Linked DNA regions of Drosophila melanogaster. The protein of the gene in region 4 interacts with the protein of the main gene of each other region in a pairwise test. Each region holds a gene or a part of one and is shown on either strand. Other genes may lie near its edges. The genes, in order: Targ, meigo, CG18480 and Syx6.

Evidence for each region.
Region 1: the proteins of Syx6 (region 4) and Targ interact in a two-hybrid assay, tested with the Drosophila melanogaster proteins (one large-scale study listed by BioGRID).
Region 2: the proteins of Syx6 (region 4) and meigo interact in a two-hybrid assay, tested with the Drosophila melanogaster proteins (one large-scale study listed by BioGRID).
Region 3: the proteins of Syx6 (region 4) and CG18480 interact in a two-hybrid assay, tested with the Drosophila melanogaster proteins (one large-scale study listed by BioGRID).

What each region holds. Positions count from the first base shown.
Region 1 is NT_033778.4:14,666,541-14,672,183, forward strand, and holds Targ (tarag), read left to right. Parts: upstream 1-1,850; 5' UTR 1,851-1,875; coding exon 1,876-1,898; intron 1,899-1,907; exon of another isoform or gene 1,908-1,958; coding exon 1,959-2,560; intron 2,561-2,727; coding exon 2,728-2,978; coding exon of another isoform or gene 2,979-2,982; intron 2,983-3,046; coding exon 3,047-3,383; intron 3,384-3,433; coding exon 3,434-4,050; intron 4,051-4,111; coding exon 4,112-4,604; intron 4,605-4,668; coding exon 4,669-4,925; 3' UTR 4,926-5,135; downstream 5,136-5,643. Other genes in the region: CG12860 (uncharacterized protein), read right to left, coding at 1-151.
Region 2 is NT_033777.3:21,136,343-21,140,880, forward strand, and holds meigo (medial glomeruli), read left to right. Parts: upstream 1-1,927; 5' UTR 1,928-2,146; intron 2,147-2,212; 5' UTR 2,213-2,518; coding exon 2,519-2,723; intron 2,724-2,775; coding exon 2,776-3,237; intron 3,238-3,347; coding exon 3,348-3,697; 3' UTR 3,698-4,023; downstream 4,024-4,538. Other genes in the region: Usp8 (ubiquitin specific protease 8), read left to right, coding at 373-603, 667-1,121, 1,178-1,508. UniProt on the Drosophila melanogaster protein: Probable sugar transporter.
Region 3 is NT_033779.5:15,628,190-15,635,508, forward strand, and holds CG18480 (uncharacterized protein), read left to right. Parts: upstream 1-1,893; 5' UTR 1,894-2,003; coding exon 2,004-2,185; intron 2,186-2,251; coding exon 2,252-2,354; intron 2,355-2,471; coding exon 2,472-3,429; intron 3,430-3,495; coding exon 3,496-3,905; 3' UTR 3,906-6,798; downstream 6,799-7,319. Other genes in the region: CG7631 (uncharacterized protein), read left to right, coding at 495-711, 774-1,321.
Region 4 is NT_033778.4:11,218,031-11,222,867, forward strand, and holds Syx6 (syntaxin 6), read left to right. Parts: upstream 1-1,903; 5' UTR 1,904-2,293; coding exon of another isoform or gene 2,294-2,328; 5' UTR 2,329-2,350; coding exon 2,351-2,591; intron 2,592-2,897; coding exon 2,898-3,599; intron 3,600-3,753; coding exon 3,754-3,830; 3' UTR 3,831-4,308; downstream 4,309-4,837. Other genes in the region: CG9084 (uncharacterized protein), read right to left, coding at 1-133, 176-352, 1,053-1,137.

The DNA.
Region 1 (5,643 bases), 3.4 Mb from region 4:
ACTTCCTGGATTTCTTATTGGCGCACCTATCGTCCGAGTGGGCAAAGCGTCGGTCGACCTGTGACAGAGCCAGAAATTGTGACTTCACTAGTCCCTTCACCTCATTAAGAAGCTGCGGGCGAAGTATTGATGAACTTTTGGCCAGAAACATAACTAAACGGAGGTTTTGGATTGGAACCGGTGCTGTGGCAGGTTGAGAGACACGAAATTTTGGTCTGTACAGGCGAACGCTCTGCTTTGATCTGGCTAACACCAAGGTGCTGAACCAATAGTTGGCAAGAAATCTAGTCCAAGGCCGCCATGATGGGATCTATTTTATTTACATTTCAACAGCTACTTCTCTATGGATTCCAGATTTAAGTGTGTAATTCCTCGAATACTGTCGCGAATTGAGCCTTTTCCGGGCCACGGACCAAATGGGTTTTCCTTGTTTGTTCTGCAGTTAATTGCGAATGGATTCGATGCCAGCGAATTTGCAATGTCCAGCTGCCTTGATTTGCAGGCAAATAACAATAAAGAAAAAATAGGCAACGCAACCTTCACTTTACGAATTTTTGCCCCAGCTTGTTTGCAAGTTAAATGCAAACAGAGTGCAGCCAGCCAAACGACAAAGCCCAACAAAAAAAAAAAAAAATAAAACAGAACGAAAAATATACATACAAAGCTGACCCCCTGCGAAAAAAAAAACAACAGAAGTCCACTAGAATAAGTATACGCCGCGTTGGTCGCCGCTCGCTGCTTGCTGTTCTCGGGGCAGTTTTCGCTTTTACGCCGCTATTTTCATTGGAGTCACTGCCGTCCGAGAGTGGCCATGCATGAGGGCTCCCATAAAATTGGGTCAATTGCTGTTAACAATTTGGCAGCGCAATCTTTTGGCCGTTTCGATTTCAAGGCGCTCAGGGGAAAAAAAATCGAAAAATAGGAAAACACAACGTGGGCCATAAAAAACGAGCACGTACGAGCGAACCTTTTGGAAAAAAACAATTTCCGCATAGAGTTGTTGGCCAGGAAAAATAGCCGCTGCAATCGGTGCTCCCCCGCGGGAGAACAGGAAAAATCCAGGGGGGGGGGAAGGTGTAGATGAAGCTGAAGTGGCTGGTCGAAAAGTTTGCTGGCCTTTACGCTAATTAATTAGTGCACTTTGTTTGTAATTCATTTTGCAAAAGCAGGGCTGGCTTAGTTAAAGTTTCCAGGGGCGAGGTTTGTTTCATAAAGCATGGACCGACTGCCTCCAATTCAAGAGCCCGGGCATCACTTTCCATTTAATCAACTGGGGAAACAGTCGACCCCAATACTTCAGCTCTTGTTGCCTTTGAGTGACTGCCAATGAAGTTACTGCCCCTAAAGCTGAGATGCACTTTAGCCGCTCCACTCCAATCGCTCCGCTCTCCGTGCAAAACTCAGACGACTAAGGAATGATTTCATTTACTTACAATCAATGAAATTGCACTGATGCAATTTTGTTTCGGCCCCAAAATAAACAGGCAAGCGGGTGGAACGGAGCTGGGATCGGGTTGTGGCAATAGGGATTCGCCAGGCAAAAGAAGATGGCGATGGCGAGGCGATGGCTAAAAAGTAACAGTTGCAGTGGGGCAATTGCGGAGGAGGAGCAACTGGGGGTCACCAACAAGCAACTACCAACCAACTCCGTTTGTCACGCTCGCCTGGCAGCCATGACAGCATTTGGTAGCCAGGAGCAGCTAATGTCTGGCGACAGTTCCCGAATCCCACGAATCCCCATGAATTCCCGTTCCTGTTGCTGGGGCTTCTCATCTTGCAGCCAGACACGTAGCCAGCCACTGTGCATTGGGTTCGGGTCGAGACGCAGAGAGATTTGTGAAAGATGTCAGGAACACTCTGCGACAGAGTCGAAAAATGAGCAGGAATCGTAGGCGAAGGTGACTGAGTCTGTTCGCCCAGCAAAGCACTCAACTCGACCAAATCCCTCTGTTTTTCAGCTTCCCCAGCAGCCAATATGAAGATAAGACCGCCGCTGCACAGCCAAGTGGAAGTAGCTTGAGATCCCAATCTCTGTCCAGGCTGGACATCTCGGTTCAAAACTCATCCATCTATTACAATGATACGCGAAACACGCGACCACAAATGGTCAGTGTGGCCGTCGGCACAGTTTCAACGGATATCCTGAATGGGCGCACATCATTCTTGTCCCTTAGTCAGTCTCACGGGAGTGAAGTGGATTTGCCTTCGTTCTACGAAAGCTTTAATCCAACTTTTCTTCCCAAGCTGCCTATCAGAAGATTTCCCCATATGCTTGTGGGGGCATCAAATGAGCCTGAGATTTCGAAAAACCAGCCAGCAATTCCACCATCTAGGCCAATTGAGCCAATATCTGAGGTGCCGTTTGTGGAACCGGCCTTTGAGAAAAAATACTCTAGGACCCGTGGATTTAGCAAGGAATTGTCCACACACAGGGATAATGAGAATGAATATATCGAGAGCACAGATGAGGTGTCTCAGATGTTGAGCTTTACTAGCTATACGGATGAATATGATAGGGCAGAACCACTCATTACCAAAACGCAAAAGTTTTATAAAAAGAGTAAGTTATCATAGCGCTGCCTTCCTTTTTACAAAAATGTTTTTTTTTTTATTTTTATTTTATTGTCATGCAATTGAATTTTGTCTAAGCTATTTTTGGCCATTTGCTTGAAATTGAGGAACCTACCAAATGCATTTCTTGTAGCTAAAACTGTAGCCTTCTTACAGGATCCCCCTTGATTCCCAAATACGATTCCGAGGATTCATATGTGGTCCCTAAGGAAACCGATCAACAGGAATCGGGTCTCTCGTTCAATGTAACTACAGTACAGTTGGCCGATACCGCATCGCCGGAATCTTTCAGCGAATACGACGGAAATCGAACGCGCAAGCAATCGTTCGACATGGAAAGTAAAAATTCGAAGGAGTCCTTTGACTTTAGCCGTGGTGGAAGACGACTTGGCTCCGGTATGGTTTTTGTAAGTGAGTGAATAGCATTCTTGTGGTGGTGAATTGAGAAACGAATGACGACTCTTGTCATCCACAGATCTATATGGTGATACCACCGGACGGCGGATTCGGTTGGGTAATCATGGTGCTGTCCTTCCTCGCCCAGCTGATAATCGATGGTTTAATTTTTACCATTGGGGTCTTATTGCCATCCATTGCCCAGGATCTGGATGTCTCCATATCGTCGGTATCGTTTGTGGCCAGTGTCCAGATTGGTTGCTACTTCACTAGCGGAGCGTTTTCTGCTGTCCTGATAAATCGTTTTGGTTTCCGAAAGGTAGCCATCGCTGGGGTCCTGTGTTCCGCAGTTTCAATACTGGCGTCCAGTTGGAGCGTCAGCTTGACCATGCTGATCTTCTTTTACAGCGTCCTTGGTAGGTTGATTCTAGATTGCTGTACGATATTCGATGAATAATAGTACTAGCCTGCGCAGGTGGTATTACGTTGAGCATGATCTGGGCAAGTTCGCAGCTGATTGTTGGCTACTACTTTGAGCGGTACCGTCCGATGGCCAATGGATTTTCCTGCAGCGGTGGCGGTGCGGGCATAGTACTCTTCACGTTCCTCAACAGCTGGCTGGTGCCAATCATCGGATGGAGGAACATGCTGCGGACGCAGGCGGGGCTGATAATGTTGATCCTGTTGATGGTGGTCGCCTATGTGGAGGTGGCTCCCACCCAGGTGGGCATGTACCATTTACCCGGTTCTTCGGATACCAGTTCGGATGAGTATTACGGCAACTTCTACGTGCATGACTATTTACGTCAATCCGCGATGACTGCTAAAAGCCGGAGTATCCTAAGTACATATGAGCCACGCCCAAAAAAGAAAGGATGCGCCAAGTTCTGCCCCTCCTGTTCGAACTGTTGTTGGAGGCGGCGGAAGAAGTCGCAAAATGCTGATGAGCAGAATCTGCTCATCCGCCCGGCGCCCCTGGAGCGGGAGGATCTCTTCTATACGGGTCCTGCCGAATACGAAAAGCCGCACAGCAAGGAGAACGTCGACGGCAAGGAGTTCCTACTAATGGGATCGGATAAGAACGTAAGTGTTGTATTAAGAATAAATTCGCTTCAACTTAAGAACACCACCAACTTTCACTTAGACCCAGCAAGTGAACTATGGCATCAAGAACATTCGTGTGGATGATGAACCCGATAGGATTTCTAGAGTTCATAGGGAACGAAGATGGTCAAACGAGAATCAGAAAAAGCAAAATTCCTGTAGGAATAGCCGGTTTATGCTCACTGTGCTCAAACTATTCGACTACCGCCTGCTGAAACAGTTTGAGTTCAAGATTCTGGTGGCGTCCGCCTTTCTGTTCCCGATGGGCTTTAATATACCCTTTGTTTACTCGTCTGCACGAACCACGATCCCCGTCGAATATGCCCGTATGATCGGCCCCATTATCGGAATTAGTAATCTTGTGATGAGAAACATCCTTGGCATCCTCGCTTACAAAAGGCGTAGTTGGACCCTCGGACTTTGTGGTTGTGGTCTAATTTTCGGTGGTGTTTCCGTTTTGATTAGCGCCTTCTATGGAGAGAACTTGATTTGGTTCCAGTTTCTGTATGGCTTCTCCTATGCTGTAGCGCCTGGTGCGTACATTTACTTACCTTACTTAAGTTTACAATATTACCCTCTCTCATTTCCATGGAATAGCTGTTTATTCCACACTGAGAGGTTTGATATACGTGAAATACCTGGGACTTTCAAAACTGACCAACGCTTTTGGGATTACCTCATTGGCCATGGGAATGGGCGCCTTTATTGGGACTACAATTGCTGGTAAATTGATAGGCATCACGGGAAACTATTCTGCTGCCTTTTGCTTTGCGGGATTATGTCTCATAGTGTCCGGATTTCTGAAGCTTCTGCTGCCCTTGCTTATTAAATGTCGCAACAGGATGGCCCAATGAGGAATTGGACTATTGGAATTGCAATATTTATTGGTTCTCCTGCTTGGAACTTGGGATTGTCTTACAACTAATAGCTTAGGCATTTTTATGACTTTTTTTTACTGGTCCTCGTTCCAAATTCTGAGTAAATGTTTGTATATCCATGTAATTGTTAATTGACCGATGTCATTAACTATTACTTCCTCCTTATTACAGATTTATTTTCAATATAATTTCAATTCAAGTGAGTTCTTTTTGGGGTTGACTTTTATTGCAATCCATTTTAAGTTATTAGTTAGCTTAGTTTACATCTAATATTAGCTTAGTTGCTGAACAACACACTTTGGCTCCACGCTTATAGGTTCAAGTGTGCTGTGTTTGGTTTTTCATTTGGTTTTGTTTCCATTTTTCCTTGTTTGGGTATGCAAATTTTCACGCTTCTTGTTTACTTTGATTTGCTTTCTAAACTTTGTACGTCTACTGTTCAATGTTTTGTTTTTTTTTTCTTCATTTTTTATATTTTATGATGATTTTTTTACATATTATTTAGAGCTAAAGCAACGAAAAAAAAAATATAAATCAATGTGAACACATAAACATAAGAATGTTTGAATCGACATCCGCAGGACGAATGACTCCAATCCTCTGTGTCCTGTGTCTAAATCTTTCTTGTGTTTTTTAATATTGTCAGTAGTCTTCCCCATCGTCGCCTCTAATTTAATCCATTTTTAATTGAAGT
Region 2 (4,538 bases), on a different chromosome or scaffold from region 4:
TGACTCACTGGCCACATAAATATAGCCGCGACACGAGTCAAATCAATAGCCAGCGGGTCACGTTTTGAAGACACCCGCCCAGACGTGCGCCGTTCTTGGTGCGCTTTCTACCCCCACTCTCAGTCGCTCGACGTCCGCACTCAAAGCATGTTCAAACCAAAGAAACGTACAATTGCCATACTGTTAAGCAGGAATAGCATTATACAGGATTCCGCGAATGATTTGTGTAGCGGGCGTGAGGCTCCAGCTGCCAACAGCTCCGCCCACCTACAGCATTTATAGCTCCATCTTTCCGCTGAGACGAGTAATAGCTATAGATTTTATTTTCCTCTATCTCCGAATAGTTAACTATATCCTTGGATAACATTTCAGGGTCGTGGACTGACTGGACTGAAGAATCTGGGCAACACCTGCTATATGAACAGCATACTGCAGTGCCTGAGCAACACGCCTCAGTTGACCGAGTACTGCATTTCGGACAAATACAAGAATTACATCAGCAGAAGCAACAAGACTAATGGCCAGGTGATCGAAGAGGTGGCTGCACTCATCAAGGAGCTCTGGAATGGACAGTACAAGTGTGTGGCCAGCCGAGATTTGAGGGTATGCAACTGAAAAAAAAAAAACACCCAAATTTCTTTCTAAACTAAACATACTTCATTGCAGTACGTTGTGGGCCAGTACCAGAAGATCTTCCGCGGCGTTGACCAGCAGGACTCACACGAATTCCTCACCATCCTGATGGACTGGCTGCACTCGGATCTCCAGACCCTACATGTGCCCCGTCAGCGGGAGATGATCAGTGCGTCGGAAAAGGCTTGGCTGGAATTTACCAAGGCGAAGGAGAGCATGATTCTGCATTTATTCTATGGCCAAATGAAGAGCACTGTGAAATGTGTGGCCTGCCACAAGGAGTCCGCCACGTACGAGAGTTTTTCTAATCTCAGCCTGGAGCTGCCGCCAAACTCGAATGTATGTCAGCTGAACCAGTGCATGGACATGTACTTCAGTGGAGAAAGGATCCATGGCTGGAATTGTCCTAGTTGTAAAACGAAAAGAGATGCCATCAAGAAGCTGGATATATCGAAGCTGCCACCTGTGCTGGTGGTGCATCTTAAGCGGTAAGTGATGCTAACACTATGCTATGCTTGTTTATAATTTCTTAAATCCCGCATAGCTTCTATGCGGATCCCAGTAACTCTGGCTCGTACATGAAGAAGCAGAACTACTTGCGCTTCCCGCTCGAGAACTTGGACATGAATCCCTACATAGCACGGGCGGAATCGCGGGCGGTAACACCTAAGACCTACCAGCTGTACGCCGTATCCAATCACTACGGCACCATGGAAGGCGGGCACTACACGGCATTTTGCAAGAGCGCCAACTACGGAAAATGGTTCAAGTTCGACGATCAGGTCGTCTCGGCGTTGGACTCCTCTAACGTGGTTTCTAGCGCTGCATACATTCTTTTCTACACCTGGCTGCCACCCATGCAGGTGCCTCTGTAGACGCTTCGCTCGGTTTCCTTTCGGTTTTTACCCCTTTCGTTTTAATTGTTTTTTGTTTTTCTCTCATATTATAGCTTTTAAGGTCTAGTCGCCACACCCTTTTATCATTTACAAATTACCGCTTAACTGTTAACTGCTATTTAAGAGGATAATCGCTTGTTTGTTGTTGTCTAGGCTCTTAGAACAGTATTACGCGTGGGCGTATTTTCAATGGGTGCAGGCTGCATTCACTAAAACCAAGAACTTCAAGTGCATTACCAGTGTAACAAAGAGAAGCCCGCATATACGCCTGTGTATGCGGGACTATAGTTTATTGTATTTTGCAAATATATTTTAAAACCAAATAAACGAAATTCAATTTCTGATACAAAGAATTTCTTTGAAAGAATCATGCGTAGGGTTTTTAGAAAACAAATTGGGGAGAGCGGGTATTTTACACTCAACAAATAATATAAAAAAGGGGGTGAAAGTTATTTTACCATTGCAAAGAAAAATTCAGCTAATTTTCGCGCCGAAAAGTTCAATTCGAGATATCCGATAAGTAAATATATTCACTTCCAACTAACGGTCACACTGTAAAACGCCCCCGCTCTTTAGCAAATGCAGTGTTGCCAACTCTTGCTTTCAATAAATAGCTAGTTAGTTGATTTATCAATTATTACATTTATAGTGTTTTATGTATGCCCTATTTTTCATTTATAAAGAGTTATGATTTAAACTTATTAAATAAGATGATGAAATTGATGATTCAAAAGAAGAACATAGCTATAACAGTGCACCTAAAAAATGGCCAAAAATACAGGTGCTTGCAATCACTTAATCTAATCTGGCTAGTAGCCAGCTAAAGCGGCAGCACCGACCACGTATTTGATTGGATTATTTGATAGTCAACGCCAAATCACGGCACTGCAGCCGCGACTCCAGAGAATGCCAACTGTTTAGGATCGTGCATTAAGTCCGACTTAACCAATTCGCAAGTCACACGCTTTAAAAACCGTCATCTGCCCGCCATGAATCTGCCGGAACGCAGCCGTTTTGTGATCTACGCCGTCGGTATCTTCGTATGCTACTTCTTGTACGGAATTGTCCAGGAGAAGTTGACGCGGGGCCGCTACGGCGAGGAGGTACAGACAGATGGATCCGTGGGAGAGCGCTTCACTTACGCCTTGGCCCTTGTTTGGGTGCAGTGCCTCTGCAACTATGTGTTTGCCAAGGGTAAGGATTACGTGGACTTGTAACGAATCAATTCTGATCTGTGGTCTTCCAGTGCTGCTGACCATTAGGCCGCAAAAGGAGGACACCACCAACGCGGGCTCCTACGTGGCCTGTTCGCTGACCTATCTTCTGGCCATGGTCTCCACCAATATGGCCATGCGCTGGGTTCCCTATCCCACTGCTGTGGTGGGTAAATCCGCCAAGCCCATCCCCGTCATGATCCTGGGCGTGCTGATTGGTCGCAAATCCTACAGCTGGACGCGCTATGCTTGCGTATTGACCATTGTCCTGGGAGTTATTCTCTTTATGTACAAGGAGGGCAAGGTGTCCAATTTGCCGGCTGAGACCACGCTTCTCGGCGAGGTGCTGCTCTTCCTCAGTTTGTCAATGGACGGATTGACTGGAGCCGTTCAGGAACGCATCCGAGCGGCCAGCGCGCCTTCCGGTCAGCAGATGATGAGGGCCATGAACTTCTGGAGCACCCTGATGCTTGGCGTTGCCATGGTATTTACAGGTGAGTGTTAAAAACACTTTATTTGAGCTAAAAATATTGGCTAAGACCTTTTTATGTAAGCCCCATACGTTTTTATAAATGTTCTGAAAAACTATAAAAAAAATCTTCAGGTGAGGCCAAGGAATTCATGTACTTCACCATCCGACATCCCGAGGCGTGGACCCATTTATCGCTGATAGCTGTGTGCGGCGTGCTCGGTCAGTTCTTCATCTTTCTGATGGTGGCCAGCTTTGGACCTCTGGCCTGCTCCGTGGTTACGACGACGCGAAAGTTCTTTACCGTCCTGTGCTCCGTTCTGCTGTTCGGAAACGTCCTGATTGCCCGCCAGTGGCTTGGAGCTGTCCTGGTGTTCGCCGCACTCTTTGTGGACATGCTGTACGGCAAGAAGGCGCCACTGGCTACGGCCAAAAAGCCGCCAGTCGAGGGAAAGCTATCCGAGGAAAAGAAACTGAATTCGTAGAATTTGATAGATGATTGCATAGCCCTATGTACTGTACATACACAAATTAAGAAGACAATGCTTCCGGCTCGAGCGGCTGCAGCGCCAAAGTTTCCCCATTTCCTAGAACTGCTTATCGTACAAAGGATTCTAGCTATAGCGAACACAGCATTCGATACTTGATCTGCAACCCATAGACCGTCGTTTAAGTTAATTAAATTATTGATATCTATTAGAAAAGGAACAAATATTGTGCAAAAGTTTACACCAGACCTGCGGGTCTCTAACATACAGGATCATTCAATCATTTAATGCTACAATTTATAATTAAAACGTGCTCTTTTATTAATGGTTGTATTATTTATATGGAACGTTACTAAGAAGGCCTAACAAAGGCAACTTATTTTCTGGCTCAGTTTAATAAATATTTTCCCATTTTTTTTTGTATTTTCTTTAACTTGAATTTAAAGCGCTTAAATCAGAGCTGCCACCTTACACGAAATGTGAACTACGTTCATAGGCAAAAGTAAGATGCTATGAAACTCGAGTTCCAAGATAAAATATCAATTTCGTGTTATACTGAAATAAGATTTAATATTGTGTTAGCTACTATATAAACCGTAATAATATGAAAAAAAGACTACACAAATTAGTTGTATCGATACCGCGACGAATCAATTGGCAACAATCGATAGGATCACTTTGCCGACCCTGGCAACTCTAGTTTATTGCCGTAGCCGTTGCAGATACGGTCGAAATTTTCAGAATGTTTTTAAAATGTATAAATCCAGTGTGCGCAATGCTAATTATACAATAAACTAATCGGGACGAAAATTTCCGAAAAATAAAAGAACGCATGTTT
Region 3 (7,319 bases), on a different chromosome or scaffold from region 4:
GTCGGAGAAAACTCAGACATCTCCTTAAGGGCATCTAATTCTTTTCCCCACAGGCATACAAATTGTCGCCTTGAAACATTGTACTTGTAGTCCCAAACATTTCTTGGGTTTTAGTAAGCAAACAATTGTTTTACAAAACATATAAATACAATAAAAGTAAATTAATAATGTATATTTTTGATTAAGTGATGTAATCCAGATCATATGCAAGACTATTCGTCCATATAAATACATATGATATGACTTGATTTTTTTTTTTTTTTGGCAGTGAGCTGCCCAGCAAGTTATTAAGAACCAGATCACCAATTTTTTTATAAGCTTACGAACAGCTTTTGGAAGTGCTTCAGGCACCCACCGTTTTCTGGGAAAATTCGCATTTTTGCTGTATTTTATATAACGAGGTATCTTATCGCTAATCAATCACAAGTAGTTCTTAATAATTTTGCGATAATTAGCACTACATTAGCCGTTAATTCGATTTAATTCAGTCAAAAATGATTCGTGTCTGGTTTCAGTTGTTCCTGCTGGGCACTCTGTGCTCTGGCATATTCCCAGCCCCCTTTAATACCCATTATGATGAAACAGATCCAGAGCTGACTGCAGGATACTTCCAGGGTGATATGGATGTGGACTACGCCCGGAATGGACAGCTATCCGAGACACGACGCTGGCCAAACGCCACAGTTCCGTATAGGATATCTGAGGAGTTTGGTAAGATACGCATTGGATGGTTAATTTCCAAAACTAATTTTATTTACAATTTTACTTTTCAGATGCTCCTCATGTGGAATATATAAAGCTTGGCATGCAATTCATCGAGTATTCGTCTTGTATTCGATTTGTGCCTGCTGATGAGGATGAGGAAAACTATCTTTTTGTGCTTCCGTCCACTTCAGGATGCAGCTCCAAAGTGGGCTATCAGCCAGGTGAAAGAACTGTCAAACTAAAGCCTGGCTCATTGGATACAGGTTGCTTTAAGCTGGGCACCATCCAACACGAACTGCTCCACACTTTGGGATTCCACCATCAGCAGTGCTCCCCGAATCGAGATGAGTTCGTAAAGATCGTGGAGGAGAACATTTCCGAGGGTCACGAGAAGAACTTTGTCAAGTACGAAGAAGACGAGGTGGGGGATTTCGATCAGCCGTATGACTATGGAAGCATTCTACACTACAGTTCCTTGGCATTTTCTATAAATGGGGAAGCGACAATTGTGGCTCTGAATCCAGAGGGTCAGGAGCAAATGGGACAGCGCTTGATGATGAGTGACACCGATGTCAAACGACTTAATACCATGTACAAGTGTCCGATTCAATTGTAAAAATAGCAATAAACTTGAAGGTCAAAAAGGCCTATAAATTTTAAAAACTTTTTGACTTTTTTTCAGTTTTATACAATAAAATTCTCAGTCATTGACTTATGCTCCGGCTTTTTTTATCATTTGGCCTGACTACGGAAATTATAGGCACTAAAATAAGAGATTATTTAACACTCGATTCTGCAAGCGTGTTAACTGATTAATTTCATCGCTTAGATTAAACAAATAAGTATATATAAACATCAAGAAAAGTATCCAAAAAGTTGATGATAAGGAAATGGCAAGCAACTAATTTAACCCAAATTTTATAGCTCTGCATTTTCCAAACAAATGAAAGTCCGAAACTTGGCGCTCTTTCATCGAAACACGAACATAGCCGCATCAGCTGATTAGATAATAAAAAAAAACGCTTATCTTATCTGCAGTGGAAGTGTAGAGCACAAGCCGAGCACATTCATAATCGGATGAAATTCGTTCTTTAATATTTTGACGGAACCCAGTAAATGTAAGGTAACTCACCATTGGAAAGCAGCTCAACTGTTAGTCATGAAGTAAGTGGAGAGACGAGTTTTGAACACTCAGTCAGTCCAGAACTACCAAGCATTCCCAAACCAACCATCTCGAAAATGGCGATGAAGTGTAATTGAGAAGGTTCCTTCCAGTCGTTACGAATAGTATTCAGCTTATGGCTCTGCAATGTGTCACAAAACCCAAAATGTGGTTGGGCCTTAAGCAGATACTTCTCTATGTAGGCCTGTTGCTCTGCGTTCTTCTGCAGGTCTGCAGAAGCAAGACCCAGTCGCAGATGTTTTGCCCCACTGTTTGCCACTGTGATCTACACGCCCAGCGCAATCGCGCAGTATGCAGGTGAGTTGTCATCGGATTTGGGGAATTATTTCGGTTGAGTTATATTATATATATTTCTTTGTGCAGCGCAAAGCGCTTGATAAGCGCCAATATAGAAATACCTACAACGGTTGAGCTGTTGGACCTGAGCTACAATGATATAACCACCATTGACGATGACTCCTTCAAAGTAAGTCATCAAATGGAAAAGATTAGTGACACCAATGTTTTTGTTTTCCATGATTTCCTAGACACATATACTGCTTAACCAAAAATAATTATTTTTACTCTATTGTGTTTCCTGCAGACCACAATCCACCTGCTTAATCTTACGTTGGCCCACAACGCGATACACACACTTTATGGGGATGCCTTTGTGGAGTTGACCAGACTACGCTACTTGGATCTATCGTACAATCGCCTGGAGCAGATCGATGAACATATCCTGGAATCCAACAACCAACTGATCCACCTTAATTTGGAAGGCAACAAGTTGTCCACATTGGGAAAAGGACCTATATTAAGAAGTCCATCGCTACGCTCTCTCAATCTGCGCAACTCGCAGGTAAATCAACTTGGAACCCAGCTTCTGAGTGCCTTGCCTCAATTGCGCCAACTGGATTTGGCACAGAATCTACTGTTAACCCTGAGTCCTGGAGATTTTCATGCACCCCGCAATCTGGCGTCACTGAATGTTGAGGAAAATCCCTTCAACTGCGATCGGGCGTTAGCCAAAGTGGCCACTGGATTGCGACAGCGCGGAGTGGCTATTTTCATGAGCAACTGCATGGAAGAAGAGGTTCAGGATCACCAGGACGATGCGGAAGCTGTGAATTTTCCTAATAAAAACGAGAAGTTCGAAAGCATGGAGTACTTGGAGCCCAGCACCCGAGGACCCCAATCCGTGCTGTCCGTCTGGCGGGATCTGGACTCCAGTGAGGAGCAGAACAGCTCGCAGGACGACGAGCAGATGTCATCGCTAAGCGATGTGTGTGAGGGAAGTCGGGAGAAACTGTGCCTAAGATACCGCATTTGCTTGGAGCGTGTGAGTCATGAACTCCTGGCTGGCGGAAACTCCCAATTGGAAGATGAAATCATACGCACGCACACCTACGATGAGGATGATTTGAAGCTGGCCTTTGTGGTGGGCGGTGCCACGGGCGTTTGCATGGTCATCTTCATCATTACCTTTGCCCTGTGCCTCAAGAGTTGCTGTGAGATGCGCAAAAAGAAAAGTAACCCGGAAGTGGCCACTGGGGTTTCAGGTAGGTCTGCCCAATTATGTGATTGACCAATATTTGACAGAGTTTTCCCTTGTTTGTTTCCCCCAGCTCCTCTGAACCCTTCGCAGGATAGCCTACCCACTATACACACCTGGTCACCACAGCGTACGCGCAACCCCAGGCGCTCTAATCCCCAGCGTCCCCGTAGTACTCAATCGCATGCCGTGGTTCGACAACCCTACGGACCGCAGGACAACTTCGTGTCCCGGCTCTTTGGTCGTCCGGCCCGCAGTCAGTACTACCGGACCATCAATCAGAATACGGCCACCCTCATAAGGCGCCTTAGTCGGAGTAACCTCTTCACCAGTCGCGACCGGGAACCGAGTTCCCCCGCCGAACCGCCAACTTCTACGGCCAGATTCTACACGGATGTGATTGAAAGTGGGGCGATACGACCGGAGACACCGCCTCCAAACTACGGCGATGTGGTGGTCATCGAGAATTGTGATAACAAGTGAAGGGAGTATCTTTTTAATATAGCCAAACATTCGTATAAGCTAAAAGTAATCTAAGTTATCGCTCTTCTCGACCTCAATTATTTACTATTCAAATCTATATGAGATAATTACAAATTTAAAGTCTAATCATTTATATTGGCAAAATATAAAATGTCATATTTCAAATCAACATCAACTATCGCAGTCGTCATAGCTGTTTACTAAATATTTATTAAGAAAGTCTACTTCATGCACTTTTTATTGGCAACATAAAATTATGTTTGTATTCAAAATATTTTCTTAGCCTACTACTATTTTAAGTACAACATGTAATGCACTTAGCCCCCAAACGATATTTTAGAGAGCCCACAACATGGCGGCCAAAATGCCCTTGAAAACTTCAATGTTTCCTCATTCTCATTTTACACACAAAAATATCAATTGGGGAATTCCAGCATTTTTGCTTCTCGTTTTGGATAAGCATTACTTTTACAAGACTTGGACTTGCAGCTGCAACAAATCGCAATAAAAACTTTTGACAAAACTATCAAAGTTGGCAACGTTGGGGGGAATGTGGGGATGGGGCATGGCCAACTGTGAAATTGCCACAGGAAAATCCCCGAAAAATTCAAGTAGCAAAAGTTTACACACTCAAATAAATGCTGAAACGCGAAAGAAGATGGGTCCTTTTAGGCCCCCCGTCCCCCAATCCTTCCCTGCAGATAAATCGAAAACACCACAAAGGAAAATAAAACCGCACAAAAAATGCCATAAGAATAAAACTCAAAAAAAGAACGACAAACCCAACAATTTGCACTGCAAAGCGGCAAAAGTGTCTCCAAAGAAACAACCACACAACCCCGACCAGATACGGAAAAAGAATAAATATATATAGGGAAAGAAAGAAGGTCCAAGTTATGTTGCAATGGGTAAAAAAAAAATCATGTGGCAAAAACGGCATGTGGCAGTGCACTGAACTACGAGGTATCTTCATACAATTTAATAAAAAAAAATATTTACAAACATAATTTATCAAATTGAACATTTACCTATATGAATTGGTTGAAAAAGAAATAACTAAAGAATTTTGATTATTGCTTAAATATCTTTGAAATGGTTATTATGAATAGACGTGTTATGAATCCGTCAATATTCAAATTAGAAAAACTTGTAAATATTATTTTGCATTAAAAAAAACCTTTTTACAGCATTTTCCTGGACTAAACGGCATTCGAAATCATTGTGCGTTTTCCTTTAATTCATTCTCCATTTGCCAGATCACTTGTGAAGCAAATTTGCTGCGCGGCATCTTTGTGGGTTCTGTTGTTAAGTGTTTGTCTAGCTATCTATCTATCTATCCAAACGTATCTGTGTTTTGTGGTGCCAACTTTCATTGCACTGAGCCCGGCGCTGCAGCACACTGTGGTGCACAAAAGTTAACGTATCCTGGGACCAAAGTTGCGTTGTCAACAACCAAAACGCAGGAAAAAAGCGGATTTGGGAAAAGAGCTGTGAGGAAATGAGGAGCCCAAATCGAGGAAGCTTGGCGAAAAAATGCTCGCACCAGGAGGGCTGAGGAAGCAGAGTTGCAGAGCGTGAAAAAATATCTAAATCCAACATTAATGAAAAACTTTTTGCATAATCCACGATGAAGCTGGCGGTGGCAAAAGCAGCAAACCAAAATCAAACCCCCATTTCCCCCAAAGGAAATGCAGCCAAGCGGAGTAGGAACTCCCCATCGAGTGAATAAAATGCAATATAAGAGGGCCAGGATAACAAAGCAACAGATTCCGCCGGGAGGTGGTGGTTGAATGGGATTTTTGAGGCATTGAAGGACATGGCAAGCGGCTTAAAAGGTGCTGAAGGTTACCCCGAAAGAAAGTAGTAAGTGATGAGATGGCTCAGACTTTAGGATTCTGGAGGCGAAAGTTGCACTAAATCTAAGCCATGGTTCGAAAACCTATGGAGCTCGATATGAAAGGGAATTGGCGTAAGAAAAACTGATTGGAAAATGGTTGAGAGTAGATCAAAGGGGTGAGGTGTCCTTTGAAAACAAACCTTTACGACCGGTCGGGTCATTTGCCTTGGCGATTCATTTCAAAGCATTACCTACATTAAGGTTATTTGATTGGTTAGATTTATTTTCGGTCACATAGCTTTATAACTTGAGATAAGATTGATATGTTTTAATATGTGTATTATAAATAATTCGCCTTTCAATTGGCACCACACCATTTTTTAAGAAAACCAATTATATCTCCAGTTTCACCGACCAACCAAAATTCAGTACAAATCAAGTTTCCGCTTTCCAATTGCACTGCCATTAGTCTGTACATCTCTATTTCATAAGTTTCAGTTACTTGTGATTTGTTTATGGAGTGTTAAGCGCTACATGGCTATTTGCCAGCACTTTTACCGCTGCAGAGTAAATAAATTAAATTCGTATTTGCTGGCATTCGGTGCGGCGCATTTCGCCCCTGGGTTCGGTGTAAAACTTTCAGGAGGTGCCGGACATGGTCGCCGTGTCCCCTGTAACTTTCTATCTATCCTCTGCCGACTGCTTGCCGTGTGTTGCAATAACAAACTCATGCTAATTGCTTTGCTAACAACTCGCAGGAACAGCAACAGCAGGAACTTGGACTTGCACTGACAATAAGAGGGCAGAAAGCGCAGCTACGACAATAAATATCAGCAGGAACTGGCAAGGAGCTGGCTAAAAGTCCTGGCTACCTTTAATTACGGTTTCGCAGGACACCGGACCACAGTTTAGCACACTCACACAAGCTGCTAACTAGTTGCACATGGCCCAGATACACTCATGACACGATTGACCTCTTGGCTTTGGGATGTTGCAGGTGCGACATACTCAACGCTTCAAGCTACTGAACTCAGCACTGCGAGAAAATAACTTACGAAGGATACATAATTATTTTAATATGCGTTTTAGGAAAGTGTTTTAATGATGTATATTTTATTTTTTATATATTGGAGTAACCTATTCTGTGTGTGAAAAAAAGTTTTTAAAGTTGAAACTTATCTTATAGAACAAATTGATTTTCATAATCAATAAATATGACTACTATTTAAATAATTCGAGCTAATTGTAGATAAGCTTTCTTTCCGTGTTTCTTCTCCTCTGCTTTATAGAATTTGCACACGAACTTGCGATAATTGCTGGGAAATGAAATAAAAATGCAATTAAACCCAGCGATGTTGCAGAGCAGAGGAGCTGGACCTCGTTGAAATGAGCATTCAATTAAGCGGCATCCAAGGAGCTGCGAGAGCGTGTCCTGGAATGGGTGTGTCCCGCTTTCGGTGTCCGTCCTTTGGCCTGCCCGTCTGTCAGGGGCATGCACATTTGACGGCGACATCGTCGAGGGCGTTTACTAAATGATTTTTATCTTTATCAAATTAGAAAACGACAACGGCAAGCGA
Region 4 (4,837 bases):
CCAGCTCCCCAAAGTAGTCGATTTTTTTCTGTGGAACTCTCGTTGGCCGCGAAAATGGCATCACCCAGTGGAGATCGCACCACATATCGATTCTCCGAGGAGACGCCTGTTAGGGCTGCAAAGGGAAGACGAACTATTAGAAGCGATTTTAGCTAATTTTTGGGCTTGTACTTACCATCGTTAAGCTCAAAGGTCTGTTCAATATGTACGGACGGCAGATCTGCTAGGCAATCGTATCCGGAAAGTGGGATAAGCGTCCGGCTTCCCGTAACCGTGGCAATTGGCACTGGCAGCGGGATGCGTGGAGCCTCCGGCCTGGGTTGTGAGGTAATGCTGATATGGGAGTCATAAACTGAAGAAAAACAAACAAATCGTATATAGACCATTTTCCAATACGAGCAGAATCGTAAGGTTGTCCATATTGTTATCTTTGAACTAAGATTTTATAAACCTTTTCCATATCTTTAGGGTATTACAAACTTTTCCATAGATTGAATTTTGAAAGTTTTTAATATTTTAATTAAATTTAAATTTCATTTAAAGTTGTAGTTTTAAGATCATAATTTTACAGTGAATTTGAATTAAATAAAAATGGTTGTTGAACATTCTGCTAATAATAGCTCTGAGTAATAGCAATATTATTGAAAATATTTTGTGGTTATAACAAATCGTTTAGATTAAAACTTTAGTAGTTTTTCGATTTTTTCATAATCTTGTCACATAAATATTTTATTACTTTTCTTGGAATAGGAAAATGTTGGTATAGGATACAGCTAATATCATGGGTACGGTTTTACTATCGGATTGATCGCTGGGTTCGATCGTCCCAAACAAAGGCACTTGAGGAGTCGCAGACCATAACAAAACGCTGGCCGATAAGATATAGCCAACTTGTGGCCGCATTTTTGCGTCGAACTGTGTGACACACTCGCTCGCAACAATAATTAATCCGGTGCACTGCTTATCAGTTGGTAACAATTCGGTTACCCTTTTGCCAGGGTGATTCACTCGCTGTTTTTATTCGTTTTCTAAAGCCATATGCCCTAAATTACCTCTCGGTTCTGAGAGACTTGGCTGCTGGGCCACACGGATCTCACTGTCGTATTGCAAAGTGCGCACCGCGTTGTTTTGCAACATTTCGCCAGCACTTTTCAAACTTATTTGACGGCGGTCTAAATGAAATTGATAACGGTGGTCAGTGGGGCAGTAGCACAACGGAAGTTAAGTGCTTTGTGCCCCTCGCCTGGTCACACTTCCTGACTCAGATGATTTTAATACTCTATTACGAACGTTCTCATGTGAAATAGTAATAATAGCTTATTTATAGTGCTATTTTGTAAACTTTAATTCATGCGAATGTTGCAGGTTTTCAAAATATTCGTTTATGCTGCTCAAGCTGAATGTGGATAAATATATATTCAAATCCAGAGCTGCCACCTGATTCAAACTGTTTAGTAACGTATTTTCTGCACTTGCGATATATACTAAATTATCGCGGGATAAACGTGCTATCGCACTTGGGTCATACTAAGCCTTACGGTTTATTTTGCTAGCAGCAAAACAGAAATAAAACCTTTACTTAAATTTATTTATCAGAATTTGTCTCGTGTGAACTTGAAATTAAAGTCCGTCACCGTGTTCTCGGACCGAAGTTTGCTAAATGACGTGGAGACGAGCAGCAGGTGAGCGAGCGATGAAAATTGCAACAGTGCTGGCCATTTGGCCGACGATTTGTTGTTGTGGAATTTTTTGGCCAAAATTCGGGTTGTTTTCAAATCGGTTAGTCAAGGGGTTGGTAATCAAGGAACCAAAGTGCGCAGCCGCTGGAGCGGGAGCGGCGTAAACAAATGCCAGTGGGGTAGTGGTTCTCGGTGGGGGCTTAATCTCTGGAGCGCAAATAGCGACAGTGTTCTCTGGGCCATCGGTGGAACCAGCTAAGTCGGCGGAATCCACAAGAAATCGAGCGATAAGCGGCGGAGCGGGTCCAAGTGCAATAATCAATAAACGTGCTGTTCAAACATCGCTGCTAGGCGAAAGATAAAACCCAGTCGATTGTGAAATTCCTGCTATATAGAACGGATTGAAAGCAAAAATTTGCTCCCCATTTGCTTGCCTTTTGATGTAACTCCCACGAAGTGCTTTTGCTATTGCCAACTTGCAATTTGCCCCCTTGTACCTTTGGGGGGTGGTTTTCGCCCGGAAAAATCCATGAAAAGAACCGTCAAGTGCGCCACGCTGGTGAAAAACTGCTAGGAGTGTTAGTTTTCGTTTTGTGGCAAGAAGAGAACGCGGCATGTCTCTGGAGGATCCGTTTTTCGTGGTCAAGGAGTAGGTGTCCCCGATTTGGCAGATGGCCACATGCACTGCTGGTGGAAAGTGCTATCTTACTTATATCTCTGTTTTTTCTTTCATTTCCCTCCCCTTCCCCAACAGCGAGGTATTCAAAGCTCTGAACAAAACCCGCGGCCTCTATCTGCGTTGGCGGGAGCTGGGCGAGAACGGCGGAACGGAGGCTGAATGGACCACCACCGAGCTGCGTAACTCGCTACGGAGCATCGAGTGGGATCTCGAGGACCTCGAGGACACTATCAATATCCTTTTGCAAAGACCATTGAAAAATCAATTCGTTACCTGGTACTCATTTATCGAATTGCATTGTCTGTTTTATTTTCGCATAAAGAGGTTGAGATCCCATTTAAAATTGCTGAATATGCAATTTATTCGTGATTTAATTCGCTCGTTTATTAGTATTATACTAATAAACTGTACAGAACTTGTTTTTTTGGCACTATAATTGTAAAAAAAGAGTACTTGGTATCTTAAGGTCGGTAGAACCGACTTTCTAGCTCATCAGTCTCCTCGGTTTTCTCCTTAACCCATACCATTTTGACTCACACGCATCGTTGAGAAGAATCCAAGCAAGTTTCGGATCGACAACCGCGAACTCTCCAGCCGGCGCCACTTCATCGACAACACTCGCGATGAGGTCAAGCAGATGAAGGATAAGATGAGCCTGAACCGGAGCCGGGACAGAGACATCACCGCACACCAGCCGCTGCTCGACAACGATCGCCACAGCCCCAATCACAATCATTCCATTGCCATACCCAATTCGAATTCCAACTCCAACGAGTACCATCAGCATCCACACAACGATCGCACGTACCTCGTGGAGTGTCCCAACGGCAACTCGCTGATCAATAGCGGCAGTCAGGTGGCCAATACCATAGCTGGGACCATGTCGGCGGCAGCGGCAGCAGCATCCCGCCACAGCGGCACCAAGTACTCCAAGCTGGAGAACGCCCTGGACAGTCCCAGTCACTATGGGCAGACGCATCACGGCGGCATGGACAGTCCGAGTCATAGGTACGTGGGCGAAACAGTGTCCATACAGCAGCGTATGATCCAGGGACAGGATGAGCAGCTAGACATGATCAGCGATTCGATTGGTACCCTCAAGACGGTCTCGCGGCAAATTGGCGTTGAGCTCGATGAGCAGGCCGTCATGCTAGACGACTTTGGGAACGAGTTCGATACCACGGAGTCCAAGTTGGATACGACCATGAAGAAAGTTGCCAAAGTCTTGCACATGAATAATGGTGAGTGGTGCGGCACTTGTGGTATTCAAGGACTATTTTGATTGAAATATTAATGAAGAGTAAATGCTTCAGTGAACCACAATCAAAATTACCCATTGAATACTTTTGTGACTTCTGATTCCTAATTCTTAACTGTATCCATCTTCTTTCACAGATAAACGACAGTGGGCCGCCATTCTCATCCTATCCGGACTGTTATTGTTTGTGATAATTTTGTTTATTATTTTGTAATTGCTTTCGTTGTTCCCAAATCGTTTATATTTAGTGTAAATTAGATTTATTTATGACTTAGCTTGCTTTTGAATTCGGGCTCTTAATTACAATTCCATGTAAACTCCCTTGCTGTATATACACGGAAACATTTTAACCTGATTTATTACCAGCCGCCTCTCTCTATATATATATAATGTAATTCCAAAGCTACGGACAAATGATCATGTAAAGTCAATGTAGGCGGGTAATAAAAGATAACTAACTACTTACATATAAACCAAGTGCTCCAGAGTTCTGTCATTCCCAATTTGGCCAAAGGATACTGCAACTGTAAGCTGTATATACATCGAAGGATATATCTGCATATATATACATACAAACAAAATGGACCTACCAATATCAAACGAGTTATTTAACGAAGAGTCTTAGGAAATTTCACTAACCAAATCTAGCAAAAACTTGTATGCAATTGAGTAAATATATATACTTATAAATTAAATTCCTAATTTAAAGCCAAATGAGGTACTTCTTACGGGTCACCTAGAAATACTGTATGAGTGCACAGAGAGAAATTGTATACATATACAAAAATTTGTTCGCTATTTTGAAAGCCTAAATTAAACAAAAATTGGAAATACAAGCTTTCAAATTTTTTAATGTTTTTAAGGATAGTAGGATTAGTCAAGATGTTATCTTCTGATAGATCAATGATTTGGAAAATGGTATTTAATACCAAATTTTTCTCTGTGCACAAGGAGAGGGTATCAGGCCCCTTCTCATGTTCTCTCTGCGCCCCAAAACCACTCGACAGCCCACTCGATTTGCCCACTCACTCAGCTGTGTTGCATGCTTTTGCCCGGAGCTTTTTGGCGAGCTTACAGTCTGCGCACAGTGGCGCAACCAAAGGGGTATCTTCGAAAGGCTTGAAACATAACCCCTACGGGGAATCCGGACTACGCCACTGGGTCACAGCATAAGCACACGGGCAGAGCGGCACGTTTCCATGTGATGTTTTTCGGGTTTCG